Callithrix jacchus: one gene and its partner. The protein of the gene in region 1 purifies or fractionates together with the protein of each later gene. This does not show direct contact. Links are inferred from orthologs where the notes say so. Each region holds a gene or a part of one and is shown on either strand. Other genes may lie near its edges.

Evidence for each region.
Region 2: the proteins of NECAP2 (region 1) and AP2M1 purify together in Homo sapiens (affinity purification with mass spectrometry; 4 studies listed by BioGRID and IntAct, counting the BioPlex papers as one, with this or other methods). This does not show direct contact. The link is inferred for Callithrix jacchus from reciprocal best matches to the Homo sapiens genes NECAP2 and AP2M1.

What each region holds. Positions count from the first base shown.
Region 1 is NC_133508.1:53,750,022-53,761,893, forward strand, and holds the start of NECAP2 (adaptin ear-binding coat-associated protein 2), read left to right. Parts: upstream 1-3,614; 5' UTR 3,615-3,634; coding exon 3,635-3,726; intron 3,727-7,071; coding exon 7,072-7,172; intron 7,173-10,674; coding exon 10,675-10,779; intron 10,780-10,866; coding exon 10,867-10,948; intron 10,949-11,872. UniProt on the Homo sapiens protein: Involved in endocytosis.
Region 2 is NC_133516.1:13,155,084-13,166,860, reverse strand, and holds the start of AP2M1 (AP-2 complex subunit mu), read right to left. Parts: upstream 6,617-11,777; 5' UTR 6,512-6,616; intron 4,545-6,511; 5' UTR 4,502-4,544; coding exon 4,428-4,501; intron 2,564-4,427; coding exon 2,298-2,563; intron 1,302-2,297; coding exon 1,219-1,301; intron 624-1,218; coding exon 488-623; intron 390-487; coding exon 248-389; intron 1-247. Other genes in the region: DVL3 (segment polarity protein dishevelled homolog DVL-3), read right to left, coding at 9,810-9,841, 10,668-11,078, 11,181-11,396.

The DNA of each region.
Region 1 (11,872 bases):
TGCACTCCACCTTAGGCAATGAGAGTGAACTTTTTTTTAGGCTATGACTAAAAAAAAAAAAAAAAAAAAAAAAAAAAAAAAAGTCAGGGCACATGGCTCACGCCTGTAATCCCAACACTTTGGGAGGCCGAGGTGGGTGGATTACGAGATCAGGAGATCAAGACCATCCTGGCCAACATGGTGAAACTATGTCTCTACTAAAATACAAAAATTATCTGTGTGTAATGGCACGTGCCAGTAGTCCCAGCTATTTGGGAGGCTGAGGCAGGAGAATCACTTGAACCCGGGAGGCAGAGGTTACCGTGAGCCGAGATTGAGCCATTACACTCCAGCCTGGGCAGTAAAATGAGACTTAGTCTCAAAAAAAAAAAAAAAAAAAAAGGCAGCCAGGTGTGGTGGCCCATGCCTGTAATCCTAGCACTTTGGAAGCTGAGGCAGCAGGATCTCTTGAAGACAGGAATTCAAGACCAGCCTGGGCAACATAGAAAGACCCCTGTCTCTACAAAAAGTAACAAAATTAGCAGGGTAGGGTAGTGTGTGCCTATAGGCCCAGCTACTCAAAAGGTTGAGGCAGGAGGGTCTCTTGAACACAGGAGTTTGAGGCTGCAGTGAGCGATGATTGCATCATTGCACTCCAGTGTGGGGAGACAGAGACCCTGTCTTTAACAAAAAGAAAGAACAAAAGGAAAATGATGAATATTCACAAAAATGTGAAGAAATTGAAACCCCTGTGAATGTAAAATGCTGCTGCTGCTGTGGAAGACAGTTTGGAGGCTCCTCAAAAAGCCGAACAAGGCTGGACATGGAAGTTCACACCTGTAGTTCCAGCTGCTTGGGAGACTGAGTCGGGAGGATCACTTGAGCCTGGGAGGTAGAGGCTACAGTGAGCCGTGATCACGCCAATGCACTCCAGCCTGGGCAACAGAGTGAGATGCCGTTTCAAACAAAACGAAACCAAACCGCTAAACGTAGCATTATTGTGTAACTCAGCAGTTTCACGTGCACGTATCCGCTCAAGAAAATGGAAAACAAGGACTCGAACAAGTGTTTGAACACCGATGCTCACAGCAGCCGGATTCCCAGTACCAAAAGGTGGTAACAACCCAATTGTTGACAGATGAATGAACAAAATATCATACATACATGCAGTGGGATATTAATCACCCATGAAAAGGAATGAAATTCTAATCCATGCTACAACATGAGTGAACCTTGAAAACTTGATCCTGAGTGAAATAAGAGACACAAAAGCCGGCCAGGTGCAGTGGCTCAAGCCTGTAATCCCAACACTTTGGGAGGCTGAGGCGGGTGGATCACGAGGTCAAGAGATCGAGACCATCCTGGTCAACATGGTGAAACCCCGTCTCTACTAAAAATACAAAAAATTAGCTGGGCATGGTGGCGCGTGCCTATAATCCCAGCTACTCAGGAGACTGAGGCAGGAGAATTGCCTGAACCCAGGAGGTGGAGGTTGCGGTGAGCCGAGATCGTGCCATTGCACTCCAGCCTGGGTAACGAGAGCGAAACTCCGTCTCAAAAAAAAAAAAAAAAGAGAGAGACACAAAAGCCTAATATTGCATGATTCCACTTGTAAGAGGTATCTAAAATGGGCAAATTCATATAGATAGAAAGCAGAACAGAGGTTACCAAGGGATGGGGCAGGAGGGAATGGGGTTATTGCTTAATAGGTGTGGTGTTTCTGTTTGGGATGATGAAAAGTTCTGGAAAGCATGGTATAGTTGCACAATATTGTGAATGTACTTAATTTCACAGCATTGCACTCTTAAAATGGTAAATTTTATGTTATGTATATTTTACAATAAAAATATAAGTGGTTAGATCAATCCTATAATAAAAAGCTTATAAAAAATGAGTAGAAATGGCCAGGCACGGTGGCTCACGCCTGTAATTCCAGCACTTTGGGAGGCCAAAGCGGGCGGATCACTTGAGGTCAGGAGTTTGAGAACAGCCTGGCTAACCTGGTGAAATCCCTGTCTCTACCAAAAAAATACAAAAGTTAGCCGGGTGTGGTGGCGGGCGCCTGTAATCCCAGCCACTTGGGAGGCTGAGGTAGGAGAATCGCTTGAACCAGGGAGGCAGAGGTTGCAGTGAGCTGAGATCGTGCCACTGCACTCCAGCCTGGGCAACATAGTGAGACTTCATCTGGAAAAGAAAAAAAAGAGTAAAAAGTAGAAGGGAATAGAGTGAGAGAAAAGGAAAGAAGGGGTGCGGAAAGTTTGGGGTCTTCAGTGAGTCAGAGATTTGGGATCAGCTGTGTCCCACATAGGGACTGGCACATTGCAGGCACTCAGCTCACATAATGAATGAGAGAATGGTAGGGAAGGAGGGATTTTGAGAATTTGCTATGGTAGCCATTGTATCTCCCAGAATATTCTGGGAGAAATTGAAGTCAAAACTGGAATTCTTAGCTGGGTGCAGTGGCTCATGCCTGTAATCCCAGAACTTTGGGAGGCTGAGGTGGGTGGATCATGAGGTCAGGAGTTTGAGACCAGCCTGGCCAATATGATGAAACCCCGACTCTATTAAAAAATAAAAATAAAAAATTAGGCGGGCACAGTGGCATGTGCCTTTAGTTCCAGCTACTCAGGAGGCTGAGGCAGGAGAATCGCTGGAACTCAGCAGGCAGAGGTTGCAACAAGCCAAGATCACACCACTGCCCTCCAGCCTGGGTGACAGAGGGAGACTCCATCAAAAAGACTGGAATTCTTCTTCTTCTTTTTATATTTTTTTTTTTGTTTTTTGAAACAGAATCCTGCTTTGTCAGCCAGGCTGAGGTTCAGTGGCACAATTTCAGCTCACCACAATCTCTGCATCCCGGGTTAAAGCCATTCTAGTGCCTCAGCCTCCGGAGTAGCTGGGACTACAGACATAAGCCACCAAGCCCGACTAATTTTTGTATTTTCAGTAAAGACGGGGTTTCACCATGTTGGCTAGGCTGGTCTCGAACTCCTCACCTCAAGTGATCCACCGGCCTCAGCCTCCCAAAGTGCTGGGATTACAGGCGTGAGCCACTACGCCAGGCCTGGATTCTTCTTAAATTACTTGCGTTACTAAACTTTACTTCTTTGACTACAACTCGTTGTTGAGGTGTGGCCACACGGGGCCCTGAGCACATAGGTGGGTTCCCATAGGTGAAGCATGTAGGGCGGTAGGGTAAGGGCGCTTAGTTTGCTGGATCAGGTGACAGCTGAACCTTACAGTCAGGAGAGGGAAGCACATTCAGGCCAGCGTGGAGTGGAGGCAAAGGCTGGAGGACAGATGCTGAAGGGTGGGCTACAGTTTTGCCTCTAGGCCAACTGGGTCCCAGGCCTAAGAACTGAAGCGATGGGGATGACCCACACCCAGACCACGGGTCATGGAGGGGTCCGTACATGGCGGGGGGCCCGGGCGCTTTCTCTGCGTCAGAGGGTGTATGGTGGGAGAGGGAAGCCTCCGGAGGTGGCCCGCCGCGGGTCTTGAGCCGGGCCTCTAGCAGAGGGCGCACAAACGAGGCGGTGCTGAGGCCCCCTAGCTGCCGCTCTAGGCAACCTAGTCACAGAGTCGCACCGCTTCCGGCTGTAGAACGGAGAAACGGTGGAAGGAGCCGGAAGTCCGGTGGGCTCCAGGCGTCGCGATGGAGGAGAGCGGGTACGAGTCGGTGCTGTGTGTCAAGCCTGACGTCCACGTCTACCGCATCCCTCCGCGGGCTACCAACCGTGGCTACAGGTGACTCCCCGCCGCCAGATCAGGCTAGCTCCGATTTAACCCTTTCTCCGCCACCCGGACACACCCACTGCGGGAACCGAGGACAGCCCTGGCCAGTGTAGGGGCGAGGGGGAGCTAATGCTGCTGCTGCTTCCAGTTACAGGCCCGAGCAGGGAGGCGAACCCAGAGTTTCGGCCGTCTCAGTACGACGCACGGGACTCCTGGCGGCGGGGAAGGCGTTAAAGCCGTATCTAGTGCTTAGGGAACCCCGGTGGGCTGCCGGGTACCTATTCTGGGTCGGGGGTGGTGGTGTCGTAGACGCTTCTCTTTCGGCGCTAACCGATGGCCTTGAAGGGATCTTTGAAAAGCCTTAAGCGGGGAGGTGCGCTATCACAGTCGGAAATCCCCGAGAGGAGGGGAGAGAGCCCAGGGCCGGCCGAAAGGACTCGTCCAGGGTAGCTTTAAGCTGACGGTCGAAGCCCAGGGCCCCCTTCCTCCTCAGATCCCTTCCCACGAACTTCACCCTTGAACCCAGCCTGGGGCAGCTGGGAAGACCCCATCTACATTCCTCTAATCTCTACCTGAGACGAATAAACACACACGCTTGTAAACATACAGAGAATCTCTGCAAGGGAACACACAGGAAACTGCTCTGGGGAGGAGAACCGCGCCGTTGGAAGGAGACTTCCTTTCCCTTTTGTACTCTTTCCATGTTGTTACCCTTTGTATGCGTTATCTATCAAAACAAGACGAAAAATATTAAAAGAAAAAAGATATACTTCATACAGACAACTTGGCCTATGGCTGTTTTGTGCCGCTGAGTGGTGGTGGGGAGTGCTCGTATGTGCGGGGGCCTGGGTGGCTCTTGAAGGCGATGGTTGTCCAAGTTTTTCGGAAATACAGGATTGGCCCGCACCACATGAATGATGATGGAGCGTCCACATATCCTCTTGTTACTTTCCAGTTGTGTTACCATGGGCTCATAGTTGATTTTATGGTGAAAAGATGTGCTAGTGAACACTACATTCATGAGATATTTTAAAATAGTATTGAAACCAAAATAACAACAGTAACCAGAATACATTTGCTTTCTGTCATCAGACTGCAGATGTACCATGAAACCGTTGATGGTCGTCTACCCTCATCCCCTGTTGGGTCTTCAGTAGGATGAGTTTGGTTCCTCTTGGTGCCCCAGAGAGCAAGGTTACAAATTGTCAGGACTGGCTGGTTTGGCTTAGAGGAAGCTACCAGTGCCTGCGCTTAAGTCTTGGAGCTCTTCTTAGCCTGAATCTCAGGCCTGGTAAGAGGAACTGGAACTGAGTCTGCTGATTTTCTGAATTGACAGTCTGCGTTTGTGCAGCTCTGGAGAACTGGCATAGGGACTTCCAAGAAAAGTCTCCCAGAAACACCTGCAATTCTTGCTATTTGGGGATTTTACTGACCTTTTCTTAGAACTAAAATGTGAAGTTATTTTTTTTTTTTTCTGTCTTGATAGAGTTATAATGAAGTTATTGCTTTAAAAGAGCCAAAACAGGGCCAGGCATGGTGGCTCATGCCTGCGGCACTTAGGGAGGCAGAGGCGGGTGGATCACTAGATCAGGAGTTGGAGACCAGCCTGGCCAACAGGGTGAAACCCTGTCTCTGCTGAAAATACCAAAATTAGCTGGGCGTGGTGGCAGACACCTGTAGACCCAGCTACTCCGGAGGCTGAGGCAGGAGAAGGCTTGAATCTGGGAGGCGGAGGTTGCAGTGAGCTGAGACCATCCCTCAGCACTCCAACCTGGGCAACAGAGCAAGACTCCATCTCAAGAAAAAAAAAAAACTGCCAAAACAGCTGGCTGTGGGGGCTCAGGCCTGTAATCCCAACACTTTGGGAAGCCGAGGTGGGAGGATCCCTTGAGCCCAAGACTTCAGGACCAGCTTGGGCAATATAGTGAGACCCTATCTCTTAATTTTTTTTTTTTTTAATTAGCTGGGTGTGTTGGTACACACCTGTACTCAGGACGGAGGATCTCTTGAGCTCGGGAGGTTGAGGCTTCAGTGAACTGTGGTTGCACCACTGCACTTCAGCCTGGGTGACAGAGTGAGACCCCGTCTCAAACAAATCAGAGCCAAGAGAGGCATTGCTGGCCAGGCTCGGTGGCTCATGCCTGTAATCCCAACACCTTGGGAGGCCGAGGCGGGCAGATCACGAGGTCAGGAGTTTGAGACCAGCCTGGTCAACAAGGTAAAACCTCATCTGTTCTAAAGATACAAAAAATGAGCTGGGTGTGGTGGTACGAGCCTGTAATCCCAGCTACTTGGGAGGCTGAGGCAGGAGAATCGCTTGAACTCAGGAGGTGGAGGTTGCAGTGAGCTGAGATCACACTGTTGCACTCCAGCCTGGGCAACTGGGCATTCCTGTAGGTTCATGGTTTTTCCTGGGTTGCTTCCTAAGCACCCATTCACTTTTCTCACATGTACTGTTCTCCTTTTCTCTTCTTGTGATTGCTCTCCGCTGTCTTTTTCCTTCAAGATAGTTTCACTGGTCTCAAAGGGTCACTCTGACCACTGCAGTCGAGCAATGTCAGAAACAGAAACAGGTGGCTGTGTCTTACGCCTGTAATCCCAGCACTTTGGGAGGCCAAGGCAGGTGGATCATGAGATCAAGAGATCGAGACCATCCTGGCCAACATGGTGAAACTCTACTAAAAATACAAAAATTAGCTGGATGTGGTGGTGCGAGCCTGCAGTCCCAGCTACTTGGGAAGGAGAGGCAGGAGAATTGCTTGAACCCTGGTGGCAGAGGTTGCAGTGAGCTGAGATTATTGTGCCATTGCACTCTAGCCTGGGCAACAGAGCGAGACTGTCTCAAAAAGAAACAGAAACAGAAACAGGTTTCTGCAGCTGCTTCCTCTACAGAAAGGAAACCGGAAGGAAGTCCTATCCGGAGGAGGACTCTGGTCTAGAGAATGGGTCCTCCATCGACAACCTACTGTGTTTTTGTATGGCTCATACCTAAGAATGGTTTTTATATTTTTTCAATGGTTTGGAAAATTTTTAAAGGAGAATATTTCAAACTGAGAACATTATATGAATTTCAGGTTTCAGTGTCTACAATTTGATTGAAATACAGCTGTGCTCAGTAGAAAATATTCATTCAAGATACCTAAAGCATCAACATGTGCATGTACCATATTGCTTTTACAGCAGAGATGCCTTGTGGCAGGCTGTGTTGCCTGAAAAGCCAAAGATATTTACTGTCTGACCCTTTACAGAAAATGTCTGCCAACCCTTGGGCTAGAACAAGTAGCCCTTTCCATCCTCAGCATTGGGGTCATGAAGCAGGAGCCTCTGGCAGAGGTTCAGTGGTGTTTGTCTCTTCAGGGCCGCGGAGTGGCAGCTGGACCAGCCGTCATGGAGTGGCCGGCTGAGGATCACTGCAAAGGGGCAGATGGCCTACATCAAGCTGGAGGACAGGACCTCAGGTAACCGCAAGGGAGGCCGCTCCAAGCTGAGGGATTGCACTCCCACTTTATGAAGGGAGAGTTGGCCTGGTCTGGCCAGGCTGCTCAGGAGTCATGGGAACCTGTCCTGAAAGTCAGAAATGTGTGTATACCTTTAAGCTGTACCATTCCCTCACCTTAGTTGTAGAATGTACTGTCCCCAGGTGTACAAACGAGTATTTCCTGTTAAGCACCAGTTCTTTTTAGGAGTCCTCAGGAAAATGCGGAGGCCAAGGAAAGGAGACTGCAGCTTGGTCTGGGTAGGAAGTAGGAAGCCCTGGAATTGGCCTTGAAGACAGTCGGGGTAAAGATGCACAGCCTCTACCGCTGGGCTCTGCTTCCTACAGAGGAATTGTTTATCAGCGAAGCTCCCAGAGCTGACCACACCCATTCACTGAAGGAGCTGAAAACTGTCCTACTCAGCTCTTTCTGTAGGGAGAGGACAGGCCGAGGTGGGTCATGTTGGGGTCAGCTGGCAGAGATCGTCTTGAGGGAAACTTCACAGGTCCTGGGCCACCAGTGCCTCTGGGTGAGCTGTGGACGGCAATACCTCTGGAGTACCCCTCGCTGCCACCCCGAGTGGGGTCGGACATAGTGCTGGCCCAGTCAGGTGCCACAACGTTCAGTCATTTTTTTTTTAATCTGTAGAGATTTTCCTTTGTAGAGCAGAAGAAAGTGCAAAAGTTTAGAGACAGAACTGGCTGCCTCTTCTCAGAACTATGTTCTGCCGGAGCTGCTGGACATTGGGTGAGCCATGTGACCTCTGGAGCCTTGGCTTCCTTCTTGTTGAAATGAGGATCATGTTAGTTACTCCTTCATAAAATTGTTGGAGATAGGAAGTGAGCAGATACTTATCTGATTGCTTTATGAGCCGCAAGGCAACCCAAAGCATTGATGTGTTCTTTGGGAACTTGCGTTCTGGCGGCAGAGGAGTTTGAAGAGGCAGCTGCCATGGCCAGACCAGAGGATTTTAGCTAGAGAATTGCTGGGATATCCCAGGTAGTGTCATGAGAGAATGGTAACACCTCTTGTTCTCTGGGGAATTTGGGAACTGTGACTTTAACATGACTACCTAATGTAACAGCCACTGCCCAGGGCTTAGCCTGCCCTGTGGGACCCACCCCAAGGTGGTCTTTGCTTAAGGTCATACCTGGATCACGTTAGTCTCTGACCTTCCCATGAGGTAATGAGCATATCACTCTAGGCCAGGCTTTCTCAGCCTCGGCACTGTTGACATTTGGGGCCAGATGGGTCTTTGTTTTGGAGAGCTGTGGAGCCCAATGAGGATATTTAGCAGCACCCCCCAAGTTGTGTCAATCAAAATTATCTCTAAACATTTCTAGATGTCTCTTGGGGACAGGGGAGCAAAATTGCCCCTGCTTGAGAACTGCTGTAGGCTGAAGGTATCTTGGTGAGGTTGGAACAGAAGGCAAATAAATTTGACAAGCTGCAGATTCTAGGGCTGTTGGTTTTGAATCAGTTCAGCCTTGATTACAAAATTACCTCTAGGCAGGGCATGGTAGCTCATGCCTATAATCCCAGCACTTCAGGAGGCCAAGACAGGTGGATTACTTGAGCCCAGGAATTCCAGACCAGCCTGGGCAATATGACAAAACACTGTCTCTAATAAAAATACAAAAATTAGCCAGGCGTGGTGGTGCACACCTGTGATCCCAGCTACTTCAGAGGCTGAGGCACAAGAATCACTTGAACCAAGGAGGTGTATGTTGCAATGAGCTGAGATTTTGCCACTGTACTCCAGCCTGGGTGACAGAGCAAGACTGTTTGAAAAAGAAAACAAAAACCCAAAAAACAAAGTTACCTCTAAACCACAGGACTCAGTAGAAGGTATTTGGTTAAATACCTAAAGCACCAGCCAGGTGTGACTCATGCCTATAATCCTAGGGCTTTGAGAGACCAAAGTGGGAGGATCACTTGAGGCCAGGAGTTAGCAGCCTGGACAACATATCAAGACTCTATCTCTAATAAAATAAATTGAGTGGACATGGTGGTATGTGCCTATATTCCCAGCTACTCGAGAGGCTGAAGCAGGAAGATTACTTGAGCCCAGGGGTCGAGGCTACAGTGAACTATGATCCGCTGCACACTGCACTCCAACCTGGGCAACAGAGCATGACCCTGTTTCTTTCTTTCTTTCTTTCTTTTTTTTTTTTTTGGTCACCCTGGCTGGAGTGCAGTGGCGCAATCTCAGCTCACTGCATCCTCCAACTCTCCTGGGGTTAAGGGATCCTCCTGCCTTAGTCCCCCAGGGAGCTGGGACTAAATGTGCATGCCACCATGCTTGGCTAATTTTTATATTTTTTGTAGAGACCGGGTTTCCCCATATTGCTCATGCTGGTCTCAAATTCCTGGGCTTGGCTGGGTGCAGTGGCTCATGCCTGTAATCCCAGCACTTTGGGAGGCTGAGGTGGGTGGATCACTTGAGGTCAGGAGTTCAAGGCCAGCCTGGCCAACATGGTGAAACCCCACCTCTACTAAAAATACAAAAATTAGCCGGGTGCAGTGACAGGCACCTGGTTAAATTCAGACAATTGAATCTAAAACTCCGCTGCTCGGGAGATTGAGGCAGGAGAATTGTTTGAACCTGGCAGGCAGAGGTTGCAGTGAGCTGAGATCACGCCACTGCAATCCAGCCTGGGCGATAGGGCGAGATTCCATCTCAGGGAAAAAAAAAAAAAGGTATAAATCAAATTTCTGGTCTCAAGCAACATACCCATACCCGCAGTGCTGGGACCATACCCAGTTCATGACCCTATATCTAAAAGACAAAACAAAAAATACTAAAAGCACTAACAGAGGTCAGCACATGCAAAAAACTGATGCCAGTCATAAATGCTCATGGAAGTTTTACGTTGCACTGCGCCTGTCGAGTGCTGTAGTTGACAAGGTGATGTGTTTCACAAAGGATCCTTTTAAAGCTACTCACACTTACACTATAACTCAGATTGAATTAAATCAACCTGCTTCAGATTCTCTATGGATGTGAAAACTTCCTCCCTTCTTTCCACGGGGCTCACTGGCCCCTCTTACTGTCCTGCCTCAGGCACTAGGCCTCATCAGCAGGTGTACCTAGGGCAGGGCTCACCTGTTCTAGGACACTCAAGGTTTGGGCAGGTAATGTAAGTGGGTAAAGCAGATGGAACAGATGGGCTAGTAGCTCCAGCTTATTCTCAGGTAGGCTTGGAGTCTCAGCATTGATAGAGGTTAATTTTAAGAGAAGCCAGGCAAAATTCTAAACTGTGGGCTAGACTTGGCCTGTAAGCCATCTCTAACTTAAATCTTTCCTTGGTTATATTTTCTGTGTCTTCCCTTTAGCAGGAATGGATTTGATTTGAATCCCAGAGTAAGGTTTGCCAATCTGTCTCAGCTGGTTAGAGGTGTCTTGCAGGAAAAAGGCCCAGTGGTGTGGTAGAAACATGTGGTTGGAAGGGGGCTCAGGGCTCAGCCTAACCTGTGCTTTCAGGGGAGCTCTTTGCTCAGGCCCCAGTGGATCAGTTTCCTGGCACAGCTGTGGAGAGCGTGACGGATTCCAGCAGGTACTTCGTAATCCGCATTGAAGATGGAAACGGTAGGCTTGGGTCCTGGTGCTTCCTCCTCTTGAGAAAGGTTTTCTATGCCTTTGGAAGGTGGGATTGCTATTTTTTGTCCCCTCCAGGGCGACGGGCGTTTATTGGAATTGGCTTCGGGGACCGAGGTGATGCCTTTGACTTCAATGTTGCATTGCAGGATCATTTCAAGTGAGTGGTTCTGGGAGATACATGCTCATGCCCCTGCCTTCTTTCCCTGGGCAGAATGATCTTCCAGGTTAGGATACCCAACTGGTTTTGTGTGATTTGTCTGGCAGCAGAGACTCAGGAAAACCCAGGGCAAGCCACCTCTCTGCTCTGCCAATGTTCATCTCTGCTGTAAAGCCTTCTCCTTTACTCAGGGTCCATCTCTACCATACCAGCCTTCAGGCCTGCCACCTGTCTTCCCTTACCAGGCCCCTGAGCAGCCAGAGTCCTCATGAGGCTCCTGTGACCTTTCTGGGCCTGCTGCTCCTCCATGTAGTCAGTGGTGCTTGGATTCCCAGGGCACCCAGCAGATGCCCTGATGTCCTTTTCTGAAGCTAAGGGACAGGGCAGGAAGTCCTCCTCCACCATCTGCAGGGCTCCACTTCAGACTGCCAGTGGGTGGGCTGTGCCCAGCCACTCGTGTGGGCACCTCTGGCTCTTCCCTGACCTGGAGCTGCTGGGTGGTGTGGTATGGAGGGTGGGGGACCTTTGTGTTGCCCTCTACTTCTGGGTAACTGTCTTGTCTCTCATCTACCTCCTGAGTGTTCAGGGGTGTGTAGAGATCACATCTTAGTTTTCAGGCCACAAGCTGCAGAGGGAAGGGCAGGCTCTCACGTGTCCCAGAGACGAATGTTAGGACCCTCTATATAAGTGATCTCACTGAACTTGTAGTCATCTTGAAGACCTATAGAATTGTTGGCATATTTTGCTGACAAGGAAACCAGTGCACATGCAGCTACTTAAGTGTCAGAGCAGGATTTGAATTCAGGCCTCACTCTCAAGCCTGCACTCTTTCTACCACCGCATCTCCCTATGAGCCTCAGCCTGGACTGATAGCAGGCAGTAGTGAAGTGAGCTGGTGATTGCAGGGCAGCTGGTCTCTTCCTT
Region 2 (11,777 bases), on another chromosome or scaffold:
CAGGACAGAGGCTGTCAGTATGTACAGAAGAGACCTTGGTCCTAGGGACCAAACAAAGGGGCTTGCTCTCTGAGGACAATTCTCTCATCTCTCTTAGCACTAATGTCAAGAGCAAATAGCCAGGCTTACCACTGGGAACAGAGAGTTTACAATTATGGTGGGAATGAAGTTCTGAAGAAACTTGGGTTCACTAGACCCCACTGAGCCCGCAGGACACCCCTTCCCGCCAGCTCCCTGCCTCAGGTACCTCTTGCTTGTTTCATCAGCTGTGCCTTTGCCCTGTTTTTCAATGACGATCTTGTCATTCATCCCAAATTTGCATTCAGGCATCCCACTCAGGTAGCTCTTCATCACCACCCGGCCCGACACATGGGCGCTCAGCACCTGCCCTGGTGATGAACAGACAAATGGGGAGCAGCAGAGTCAGGCAGGCAGGCCCAGGATCCTGCCCTGGCCTCCTCCTGCTTTATCATGAAAGGGACCTCACCTTGTGGGGACATGAGCAGGTTCACACTCTCCAGCACGTCCAGGAAGAGCTCATTCCGGCGATACTTGATACCCTCTCGCCGCCAGCCGATTTGCCCCGTCACCTGGCTGGTGATCTGTGACTGCTCTTCTTTTGTCTATATGGGGGCAGAGACAAACAGCAATAGCCTCACTCCTCTCTCCCTTCCCTCCTCCTGTCCCTATCCCCATTCCACCCTCATTCCCCTCCCTTCTAGTCCACACCTGTAATCCATTTTCCCCTGTGAGCCCCAAAGGGCAGGGCCTGGATAAAGCAAAGCAAAGCCGCATGGGTGGAAGCCAAGGGAACAGCTTACCTGATGCTGGGGGCCGCAGGGCCAACGAGGTGCCCACATGAAGCAGCCAGGGAGGCAGAAAAGGAGGAGAAAACTATGAGGCTTGGATCCTAGGAGAGGGCCCAAGCTCTCTCCCCACAAGGAACACCAGGCCTCAGGAGCAGGCCTCCTCCCCAACCCCTCAGTGCAGAAGGAAACTGCTGGAGCTGTATTCCTGGTAACAGAGATGCTGAATTGGCTGCTCCTGCAGCGGGAGGACCACACAGGGCAAACTAAGCCTGCAATCACAGCAGGAGGCTCAGGCCAGCACTTCCTGTCATGGGAGGGCTCACGAGTCAGCTCAGACAAGGCTCAGGGGCCAGCGGAGATGAAGGGAGATTGGACTCCACCCTGACTATGGTTTGCACAATTCAAGTACCTGACTCTTGATGCCCTGCTGGGTGATGAAGGTTTTCAGCGCGCCTGTCTCGGAATTCTGTGGGTAACCAAAGTCTAGAATCTCTGCAAAAAGAAGGGAACCATCAGCCCCCGGTCAAAGCTTCATTCCAGTCCCTGCTCGGGCCTGCATGTCTGGCTGGCGCAGCTTCCAAAGACCCTGTGGCATCATCTCAACAAAGTCTTCTAGCTCTGTAGCATTTATTCTGATTTGCGCTTTATAAGAAAACAATTTAAACGTTTTATTTTTTTCAACTAGAGAAATCAAAGCCAGGCACAGTGGCTCATGCCTGTAATCCCGACACTTTGGGAGGCCAAAGGGGAAGAATCACTTGAGACTAGGAGTTCAAGAGCAACCTGGGCAACACAGTGAGACCCAGCTCTGCAAAAAATAGTCACAATGAGCCAAGCACGGTGGCATGTGCCCATGGTCCCCTCTACTCAGGAGGCTGAGGCTTCAGTGAGCTGCGACTGCACCACTGCACTCAGCATATGTGACAAGAGAAGACCCTGTCTCAAAAAAAAAAGAGACATCAACAGAAGAGTCGCATGGCCAGCGGGAGGCAAGTCAAGAAGCTTCGAGCCGTTTTCTCCAGAAAATAGACATTCGGAAGAGGGAAGGACTCACCTGCCCTTCCATCACACTCTACAGAGAAACAGAGGTAACAGCGCACCTAAAGGGGCCTGTCATAGCTCACTCTCCCCCAGGCTCTGAAGCAGCTGCCGAGATGGGAAACCGGGAGGACAGCCAGTGAACCAAGGTCCAAGCCACAGAGGAAAGAGGATGAATATGGGAGGCTCAGCCACCAAACCTGAGTCAGGTTCCAAGCCCCCCGAAACACCAAACACCTGCTGGCCTATTTCTGTGTTCTACTTCAGAGCAGCCTTCAGGTCTAGATGTGAATTGGCCTTCTAAGAGGCATAGAGATCCTAGCCCAAGAGACCAGATACTCAGAAAGTTCAGAGTCCACCAGAGCCTCAGACCTGCACCCAGCTTCAGGCCCGGCCCAGCCTGTGTCTTCCCCACCCTGGCCCACCGCCCTGCCAGCCCAGCAGCCTCACCGTCCAGCAGCTCATATATGAGCACAAAATTGTTCTTGATGTTTTCCTCGCTGATCTTGCCAAAGTAGGCAGCCATCACATCACACATCTTATAGAGGAATTCGAAGACCATGGCAGCGTTGACATTCTGCTTGGTGACTGCTGCCAGCCAGATGTTGGACCGCTTGACGTGGAAGAAGCTGGTGCGTGCAATATTGGTAACGGGGCTGCGCACCTGCTGCCGGGCATGGATAACATTGACCCGAAAGGCATCCACTGCGTTCCTCCTGAGGGAAAAGGGCGCATGGGGCCTGCTCAGCACCCAGGCCAACCTCACCCAACAAGGACCAACCACAGCTGCTAACAGCCCCACCCTCCTTACTGCAGAAGTCTGACACACACGCTCTAAAGAAAACCAGTGCCTAAACCACTAGGGTGGTTCCCTTCTCATGACTGCCCGTGGAGGCATGGGGAGCGGGCCGGAGCGGGGCTGGTGTCTGCAGCCCCCGAGAAATAGGGAAGTCAGGTATCAAGGCCGACGTAACCTTAATAACGTGAAGTTCATCAGGTTTAGAGACAGGCAGTCCTGACTCCCAGGGCTGGCCCAGTTTCCCAGCTTTCTCTAGCTTCCCCGTAAGCTCCCAGGCCCAGGACAGGAGGAGACACTTCTTCTCCAGTCCTCCCGCTAGTGTCCCAGCAGTGGGGAAGGCCAGCTCCTCCAGAAGTTAGACAAAGCCAGCATGACTTCAGAAGTCACGAAGGAGGGAGAGGTACCAAGGGGCTGTGGAACTGTGCAACCCATTCTTGCCAGGATCCAACTCCAGAGCAAGTTCAGGGAATGGAAAAGGATGCAGGAAAACAATGATGGGGGCAGGGCCCCCCCACCTGTACCTGGGCAGCAGCTTGAGAGGCCGCTTACCTATTGCTACGGCAGCCAATGAGATGGGATGAGAGAAATGACGCCAGCAAGAAGAGGAGAGTGACAGCAACGAGAGAGAGGGTTAGACACACAACACACCGGGAGGGAGCACACACTGTGAGGCAGAGGCAGACGGGACAGGCAAGGCGGCGCATGATCAGCCTTGGCTTGCCCAGTCCATCCAAGGCAGGAGGGGCTGGGGTGGGGTGTAGCCAGCCAGGTTCAGCCAGGCCAGGCCTTGCCATAGCTGCAGCTCTAGCCCATGGCACTCCACCAGCCAACAGACAAACAGCCTCAAAGGCCAGGCCAGCCCAACACCCAGGGAGTCAAGTGAGAGGCACAGCAACAGGCCCATTCTGTGACTTTATCTCCAGCTCTCTGGGGAAGAACAACAGGCAGCAGGAACCAGAGGAGCCTCATCTCCTTAGTGCCTCGAAGGCTAGCTAGGTCCCCTCAGTCGGAAAGAACGAGGGTGTCCAGGGGGCACAGAATGAGAAGGCAGGCTGTGGCTGTGAGAAGGTCTAAGGGGCCCAGCATATGGAGCCGTCCAGGGATGGCAGCATGGCCGTCTGATAGGCCAGGGACGGCAGCATGGCCGTCTGATAGGCCAGGGACGGCAGCATGGCCTCCCTGCCCTCCCTCCATGACCCGGAGAGTGCCTCACGCTTCCTCCCAGCATCTCCCCCAGGAATGGCCCAGAGGAACTGAAGACAGCTGAGTCAGCAGCATGACTCCTCCTGAGAAAGGAAGCCTGAGAGGATTCGGCAGCCTGGAGAGGCTTTCAATAGAATCCAGTGAAGGCGCTTGACATGAGAAGGGCTTCTGAGAGCAAGGCTTAGATGGATTAGGACCTCCAGCCTGGCCACTAACTCCACCCACTGGAGGCACTTCTCCCTCCTCCTCAAGGAAGGAATTAAGTAGCCTGGGCAAAAGCACTCATCTTCAGCACCCAGAGCACCCAGGCCTAAAGAAACGGGATGCAGGAAGGGCAGGAGTTCCTCAGGCTGTGGGACCTTGCCATTCCACAGGTCCCACCTTGTGGCCTGCAGGCTGCCTGCCAGGCCAATACCACCAGACCTAATGGGAGCCAGGCTAACTAGCTGGGCTTCCAGGATGCAGCCAGGAGTCGGAGTGGCCCAAGTCAAGCCTCTGGTGGGAACAGACCTAATCCTGCATGCTGGGGCTGGAGGGGGGGCGAAGGGGGGCACAGCTGGCTGGGCCAGGGGACTCACCCGATGTCATCTCGGTAGACTCGGGAGATGAGCACCTCCCCCTTGTGATTATAGATGAATAAGCCTCCAATCATGGCGGCAGATCAGTCTCCGAGGCCCATCGCTCTGAGAACAGACCTAGGATAGGCAGGGGCGGGTAAAAGGCCTCAGAACCCCTGCCAACATCCCCTGTGGAGCTGTGCAGGTCACTGGAGCCTTTTTCCTGACTCAACCCTCTAGCAAGTGACCCTGCAGCCCTCCCAGACAGGCCCCTCCCCTCAGCCAGGCTCCAGTTCCTGTTTATTCCACACTGGATGGGAGAAAGAAAAGGAGAGAGGTTAGGCCCAGGACTCTAAGGCCATTTTGACCCTCCCTTTCCTGGGGCTGAGCATCAGTAACCCCCGCCCCCTCTCCTGAGCACTGAGCTCAGAAATGATCCTTTTCGGCCACCTCCTGTGCAGTCTCAGGCTCCAGCCCGTGAGTCACTAAGGCCTGCCTGCCTGCCGCTGCAGGAATGGCAATAGGAATTACGACAGCTGGTTCAGGCCTGGAGCCCCCAGGCCTAACCTTTAGAGCATCCAGTCGCTCGGGTAGGGCTCCACTACCCTTCAGAGAAGGTCGCAGGGCCTGAACCTCCGGCACTCACATTCCAGGAAAGGGTGTGAGGAGGAGAAGAGAAGGGAGCCCTTAGGCCCTACTGTCGACCCGCGAGTGTGGCTTAACCTCTTCTTCCTGGCAGTGGAATAAGCAGGCGAAGGGCAAAGGAGGAAGGTCCAGTGCTGGCAGACTACACTTCCATCACCCAAGCTACTATCACAGTTACCTCTGACCACCGCTCCCCTTTCAAAAAGCTCTGGAATGCAATAAAAATGAGGACTGCGGTGGGGGTGGGGGTGGTGCAAGCTCATAAAATTAAGAAATCCTTCCATCCGAAATCGTGATCCAGGCCCATCTAGTAACTCACTGCTGGCCTGGGTACCTCTAAGCAAGAGCCAGGGATGTCAGAATGCCTGAATTATCCAAATTATTTGGGTCAAATTAATTTAAATTGTTTGAGAAAAGGCGCTAGTTTGGTTTCAGATTTCCTGGATTAGCCCTGGTATTAATTTCACAGGAAGTACTTTAGCAGACTTTTCCAAACTGGAAAATAAGGCCTTTTCCTGTGGCTGTCAAGGTCTTCCAGAGGGGTGAGCGCTCTCTCAAGGTGGTAGACTCATCCCATGCCTCAGTTCCAAACAGCCTAGGAAAGGAGATGCAAAATGGAGGTAGAGCCTGGGGCAAGGAACCAAGTCCACAGGTACCGGGTGGTAGGTAGCGCAGGGCACCGGAGAGCCGGAGGTGGGGCCTTGGGCAGAAATGGAACATTTAGTTAAGGGGAAAGACCTGCAGCGACAGCCAGGCAGAGTCCCCAGGTGAGCTCACAGCAGCAAACTGGGCTGGTGGGGTGCACCTAAAGGTAAGAGTTCCCTATATGGAAAAGGTCAAGGCTTTAAGAAGGAAAAGCCGGCAGGGGGAGATTGACAGTGGTGAACAAGCTGGGGCTGACAGAACCTGTCTGGGATTCCGCTGCAGAGTAATGAGGGGGTCGTGGGCTTTTCGCCTTGGGGAGGGCATCGTGGGAAAAAATGGTGCCACGGGGTGCGGGGGCTGTCACAGGTCTAAGGAAGAGCCAAGGGGTGTCACTGAACTCAGAGGAGGGGGCGCTGCATGGTGTGAGACTTGTCACGGTGCAAGGCGGCGGCACAAGGGGGTGTCACTGTCCTACGAGACGGGAAAATTGTCCTTGCGCGGAGGGCCAGGGGGCTGGCAGGATCCTAGGGAGGGGGCGCTGCGCAGTGTTCCTGCTCTGGGAGGATTCCAGGCGGTCTCCCTCATGGGAGTCGCCAGGCGGGTCAGGTGGAGGGCGCCGCTCCCCGCCAGCCCTGCAACCGCGCCCTGGGCGCCCCCGCCCCACCGTCCGCTCGCTCCCGGGTCTGAAGGCTGAAGCCACTCCCGGGTGTGGGCAGCTTTTCTCCCAGCTCAGTGCAGGGCAGGCAAAGCTGGGCGGCGGGACAGACGACCCGCGGCGTTCTCCCCCAACCCATAAGGCCAGATGCCCGGCTCACCTGGTGTCCGCGGCCCTATGCTCTGCCGGCCTGGCCACTCTCGGAATCCCAAGATGTCCGCCCGCCCCCTGCTCGTCTGCCCGCTGCCTGGGCTTTCACCGCAGTGCCGCGGCCCCGCCCCGGAGCCGGCTGCGCTTGCGCGCCCGCCTCCCGCGCTGACTACAAATCCCGTCAGGCTTCGGTGCCTCCTTGCTAGCGATTTGAAGCGCTCTACGTTTAGCAAAACCACAACTACCGACGGCCTTCGAGAAACCGTCCCCGCCTCAGGGGGAGAGATAGGCGTGGCCTTAGTCGGCCCTACCAGAAATACACAGTCCAGCATACACCGCTCCACCCACCTTATTTTTTTTTCACTGAGCACTCTGGGAATTGTAGTCTCTGCACTTCTTCCTGTTTCTATTTGTTTCAGAGAGCTTTGGAATATTAATGCCGTTTGTAGAAGCACATCTGTTAAACCTCGGATTGCTGTAGGCCTTTTCTGTCTCCAGAGTTCCAAGACTGGCTGTCCTCACTTTACACACAAATAAATGCAACTTGGCAGAAGTGTTTGTGCCGAATTTACTGCTTTCTAACTGTACCTCTGATTCTCCCAAGCTTTTCTCAGACATTTGTTCCAGACATGAGCTTTTTCCAAGGGATTCAAGACCCAAGGAGAAGAGCGGGGAGGAAGGAGGCGACTACTTGGGAAGAAACTAAAGCTTTTCACAAATATGTCCATGACTGTACACTCTTCCTCGAGGTCAGCTAAAGCTTTTCATGAACGGGCCAATGTTCTCCTTAGCTATACGATTGTTATGACTTCTAGTGATAGGCATATATGCTGCTCAAAAGATGTTAAAAGAGTTGAATTTAGTTGGACATGGGATTTGAAATCTCCTCTTTGATAAACATAAGCTTTACATCCAAGCTGAGGAGATAGAGCCAACCCTCAAACATGAAGGGCTTGCTTGGTTCTTGCAGAATCTGAAGAAGATCTGTTGGCTCCTCTCTTTCTGTGGGCAGAGAGAAACTGCTGCCTTCCTTGGGCAGGACTGCACCTGTCATGGGAAGAAGGAAGGGCAAGAAAGGGCAGATCTGGTTGCAAATGTTACAGTCCTTCACAGCCTCCAGCCAGATGCCACGATGTGGCTGGATGAAGATCTGACCTCCTCCAAATCGTAGTCACAGCCTGAAGTCATTAAATGACTGAATATTGGCATTTCTAATTTTTGAACCAGCACTCAAGGCTTCAAGACTCCTACCTCTGCAAAAAGCTTTATCTTCCAAAAATACCCTAAACTGCTACCAGAGTAAATAATAATGATAAAATAATAATAATAATAGCTACCATTTATTGAGCACCTACTCTACTGTGTGCCAGGCACTGTGCTAGGCACTTTTCGTACAATATCTAATTTAAATCCTCACAACAACCCTGTGAGGTAGGTATTATTATCATCATTTTACATACGAGGGAACTGAGGCTCAGAGAGGTTAAATAACTCTCCTATCACACAACCAAAAATAGTAGAGCTGGAATTCAAACCCAAAACAACCTGACTCCAAATCCCATGCTCCAGTGAATTAAAGTAGAGACAGAGAGGAGAGGGAGGGAAAATTCAAGAAAGATTGTTGGAGTGAAATGGATATGATGTGCTGATGAGTAAGATATGGGAAGAAGGAATGTAAGCTCATAAATGTTTCTAGCTGGTGAGCCTATGTAGATTGTGATGAAGGTAACCAGGACAGGAATTCAGGAGAAACATACTTGGTTGGGCACGTGAGTCCATATGGAAATGCCCAGAGATGTCCAGTAGGTAACACTAATACAGATCTGAAGTCTGGGGGAAGTTGGGGTTGGAGCTATATATTTGGGAATCACCAGCATATCAGCAGCAATTGAGGATATCAGGATGAATGACTCCATTTTGGGAGTAAATAGAAAGGAAAGAGAAGTGAATCCAAGACAGAAAGATGGAAGCACTGATACTGACAGGCACGAGCAATTGTGGAGAAATTCTCAAGAGGGTTGGACAAGACAGAGTGAGAGCGAGAAGTACATGAAACAGCCCTGCTGTGGTGGCTGGAAGCCATGGACTGGAGTTGAGGAAAATCTAGAGTTCCCAGAAGGCAGGCAAGACTGAGTCACACTTCCAGCAAAGCCCTCTGCTCACCAAAACCCCAAGAAGTATTGTTTTTGTTTGTTTGCTTTTGAGGCAGAATCGCACTCTGTCACCCAGGGTAGATGCAGTGGTGCGATCTCAGCTCACTGCAACTTCCACTTCCTGGGTTCAAGCGATTCTCATGCCTCAGCCTCCTGAGTAGCTGAGATTAGTCAGGCACCAAAACACCCATCCAATTTTTGTAATTTTAGTAGAGATGGGGTTTCACTATGTTGCCCAGGCTGATCTTGAACTCCTGACCTCAAGCGATCTGCCTGCCTCAGCCTCCCAGAGTGCTGGGATTATAGACGTGAGCCACCACACCTGGACAAGTATTGTTAATTGAATGAATGCCAAAATGTCCCTACCTTGGTTTACCTCAAAACCTACAGCTAAGGACCTCATCTCACTTTTGACACCCCAGACCCAAAAATATGGAAGCCCAGGGGAGCCAGAATTTATAGCAGAGGCTTAAAGAGAAAACCATGATTTGTTTAAAGTGGAGAATAAGGTGAAAAATAAAACCTGGCACTCGGTCTGGAAGTCCTGGAAGTGTCCTTGCCCAGCCTCAACTGGCCTGTGGGCTCCTGTGTCCTTGCACTGGGGTGCCATGATGAATGTGAAAACGGGTAAGGTTGTGTGTGGGGTGGGAATGGCCTGTCAGTTGTGGGGCAAGTCCTCTGCTGAGTCCAGCTTGACCCAGTTTACGGGCTTTATCCAGGTGCGAAAATGCTAGGGATGTGTGGGAGTTTTGAGAGCTACCAGCAAGGGAAGAAGGATGTCAGGGGACCAGCCCCACAACCTAGGAGAGGATTAGGAGAGAGGGTCCAGCCCTTTGGGCAGGGGCCAGCCCCGAGGCTTAACTGAACTTGCATAGGCACCTGTGCGTGTCTCTGGGCATGTATGCATGCAAGAGTGAGAAAGATAAAGAGAGCTAGAGAGGCCCCCTGCAGCCTGCCATGTGTTGTGTGGCCTGATTCTCTCTGGAAAGGAGAAGAGTCTCCATGCACTGGTGAAGCTGGGCCCTCCCCAGAAGCTTAGTGACTCAGTATGTTAACGTGTGGGTGTGGGGGCTGGACATCCTTGGGAAGCCCTGAGGCGCTGCCGAAGCAGGGTTCCTGGTCTCCTCGGAGGCTGGGCCTCCCCTCGCTGGGGGCTCACAGAAAGTCAAACAGCCCGAAATTCTTGGCTGCTCCAGGCCCAGGGAAAATAAGGGGAGGAAAAAAGAAAGAAAAGAAATGTTTCAGGCCTGGAGGTGAGATGAGCCTGCTGGTTAGTAGGGTTAGGGGTCCAAAGAAACCAGCACACAGGGCAGGCAGGGGCAGGGGTAGAGCAGAGATGCTCTCTGGAAGCCAGTAGCTGCTCAGGCAACTGAGGGGGCCCTCGGGACCTCTGATCTTGGCACAGGCAGGGACAGCACGATGGCTACCGGAGGCGACTACAGCTTTAGGTTGCAAGACTGAGGCAGCAGGCAGGGGTTGGTTAGTAGGGGCAGGTGAAGCAAATGTATTTTGGTGTCATTAATGTGGGGTAGTCAAGAGGTCTGCACACATGCCTGATGGGGTGGAGTTAATATAAGGATGATGTAGCTGAGTGAATGGTGAAAGGGAGCTGAAGGGGAAATGAGAGAATGAGGGAGTAAGCATCCCGTCAAGGACACTGCCGGAGACAACTCCCAAAAGGGGGTTTGCAGAGGGGAGGAAGGGGCAGCACCAAGTCTGGTCCCGGGGACACAAAGGATTCTGGGAATTCCTGTGCAGCAGTTAGTGGGCAAAGGAAACGAACTGGGGCCAGAGGCAGGTTAGGGGGCTGCAGAGCCAATCGGTAGGTGCATTCCACCCTTGCAGCACCCTGCGAGCAGTTAGCGCACCTGGATTAAGTTCCGTTTATTTCCCTTTCAGGTACCAAACAAAGTAAAAAAGACGGACGGATGGAGAGGAACGCAGCCGGCTAGGGTGGTAGCGGAATGGAGGTGGGGCGGGGCCCTGCTCACATCACATCCACAAAGAACTCACTGGGGTTTCCCATGGCCATGCGGAAGGACTGTCGGCTGGCGGTCAGTTCCGGGGGCACTGAGGCCAGGTCGCGGCCTGGAGGGGCTCCTGGGGGCCCCATGGCCGTGGGCGGTGGGGGCATCATCAGCATGGGGGGGCCGTAGAGAGGGGGCACGCCGGGAGGACCATAGCTCGGGTGTGTGTGGTGGCTGCGAAGGCTGCTGGCCAGAGAATGGTGGCTGCGGTGGCTGTGTTCACTGGCCGCTGGGCCTGAGCGCTCGCTAGGCGCTCGCTCCCGCGGGCCCCGCAGGCTGCTGCGTGTCGTGTGGTCCGATTCGCTGCCGCTGCCCCCCGACTTTGAGTCCCCGGCCTTTGGGTCCTTCTCTTTCCTCCGATCACTGCCACTGCGGTTGGAGCCACTGCTCCGACTGCCTGTAGGAGGCAAACAGGGCCGGCATGTGGCAGTGTGGCAGCTAGGCGGCCGGTGAAGCCCGGGGTCCACCTGTGGCCTTCCACCCGGCCCCATTACCTTACCTTCGCTGTGCTGACTGCTGGCGCTGCCCCCGCCGTAGCTGTAGCCCAGCTCTGGGAAGCCCGGGTGCGGGTTGTAGGGGTGCGGGGGTGGCGGGTACTGGTACGGGAAAGCCATGGGCCAAGGGGCGGCCCCCGGGTGCGGCAAAGGGGCCAGCGTATCCTGGTCAGAGGCGCCACTGGAGCCATCGTGATCGTGGAGAGACAGGTTGGCCATGTCTGTGGAGGGAAGGCCACATGGAGCTAGGTCTTTCCAGAGAGAGGTCCCTAGCCTAGGTCAGGTGGGTTCTGGATGACAGAGACCGGGGTAGTTTCTGGCTAGAATGAGACCAGAGAGCACAGACCAGAGGGCTCCCCATTTCTGCAGACCTGCTTTGCCACCACCAGAGCCAGCCCCCGGGGTGACCCTCCTCAGGAAGGCCCTGAGTCATTATTCTAGATTCTCAGCTAAAGCTGTACCTCCCAATCTCTGGAAGGCCCTTGCGAAGCTTTTGTACTTTCTCTGCTGGCCTCGGTGGGATAGAAGCAGCAAAACTCTTTTTTATTTTGAGATGCCGTCTCGCTCTGTCCCCGAGGCTGGAGTGCAGTGGCACAGTTTTG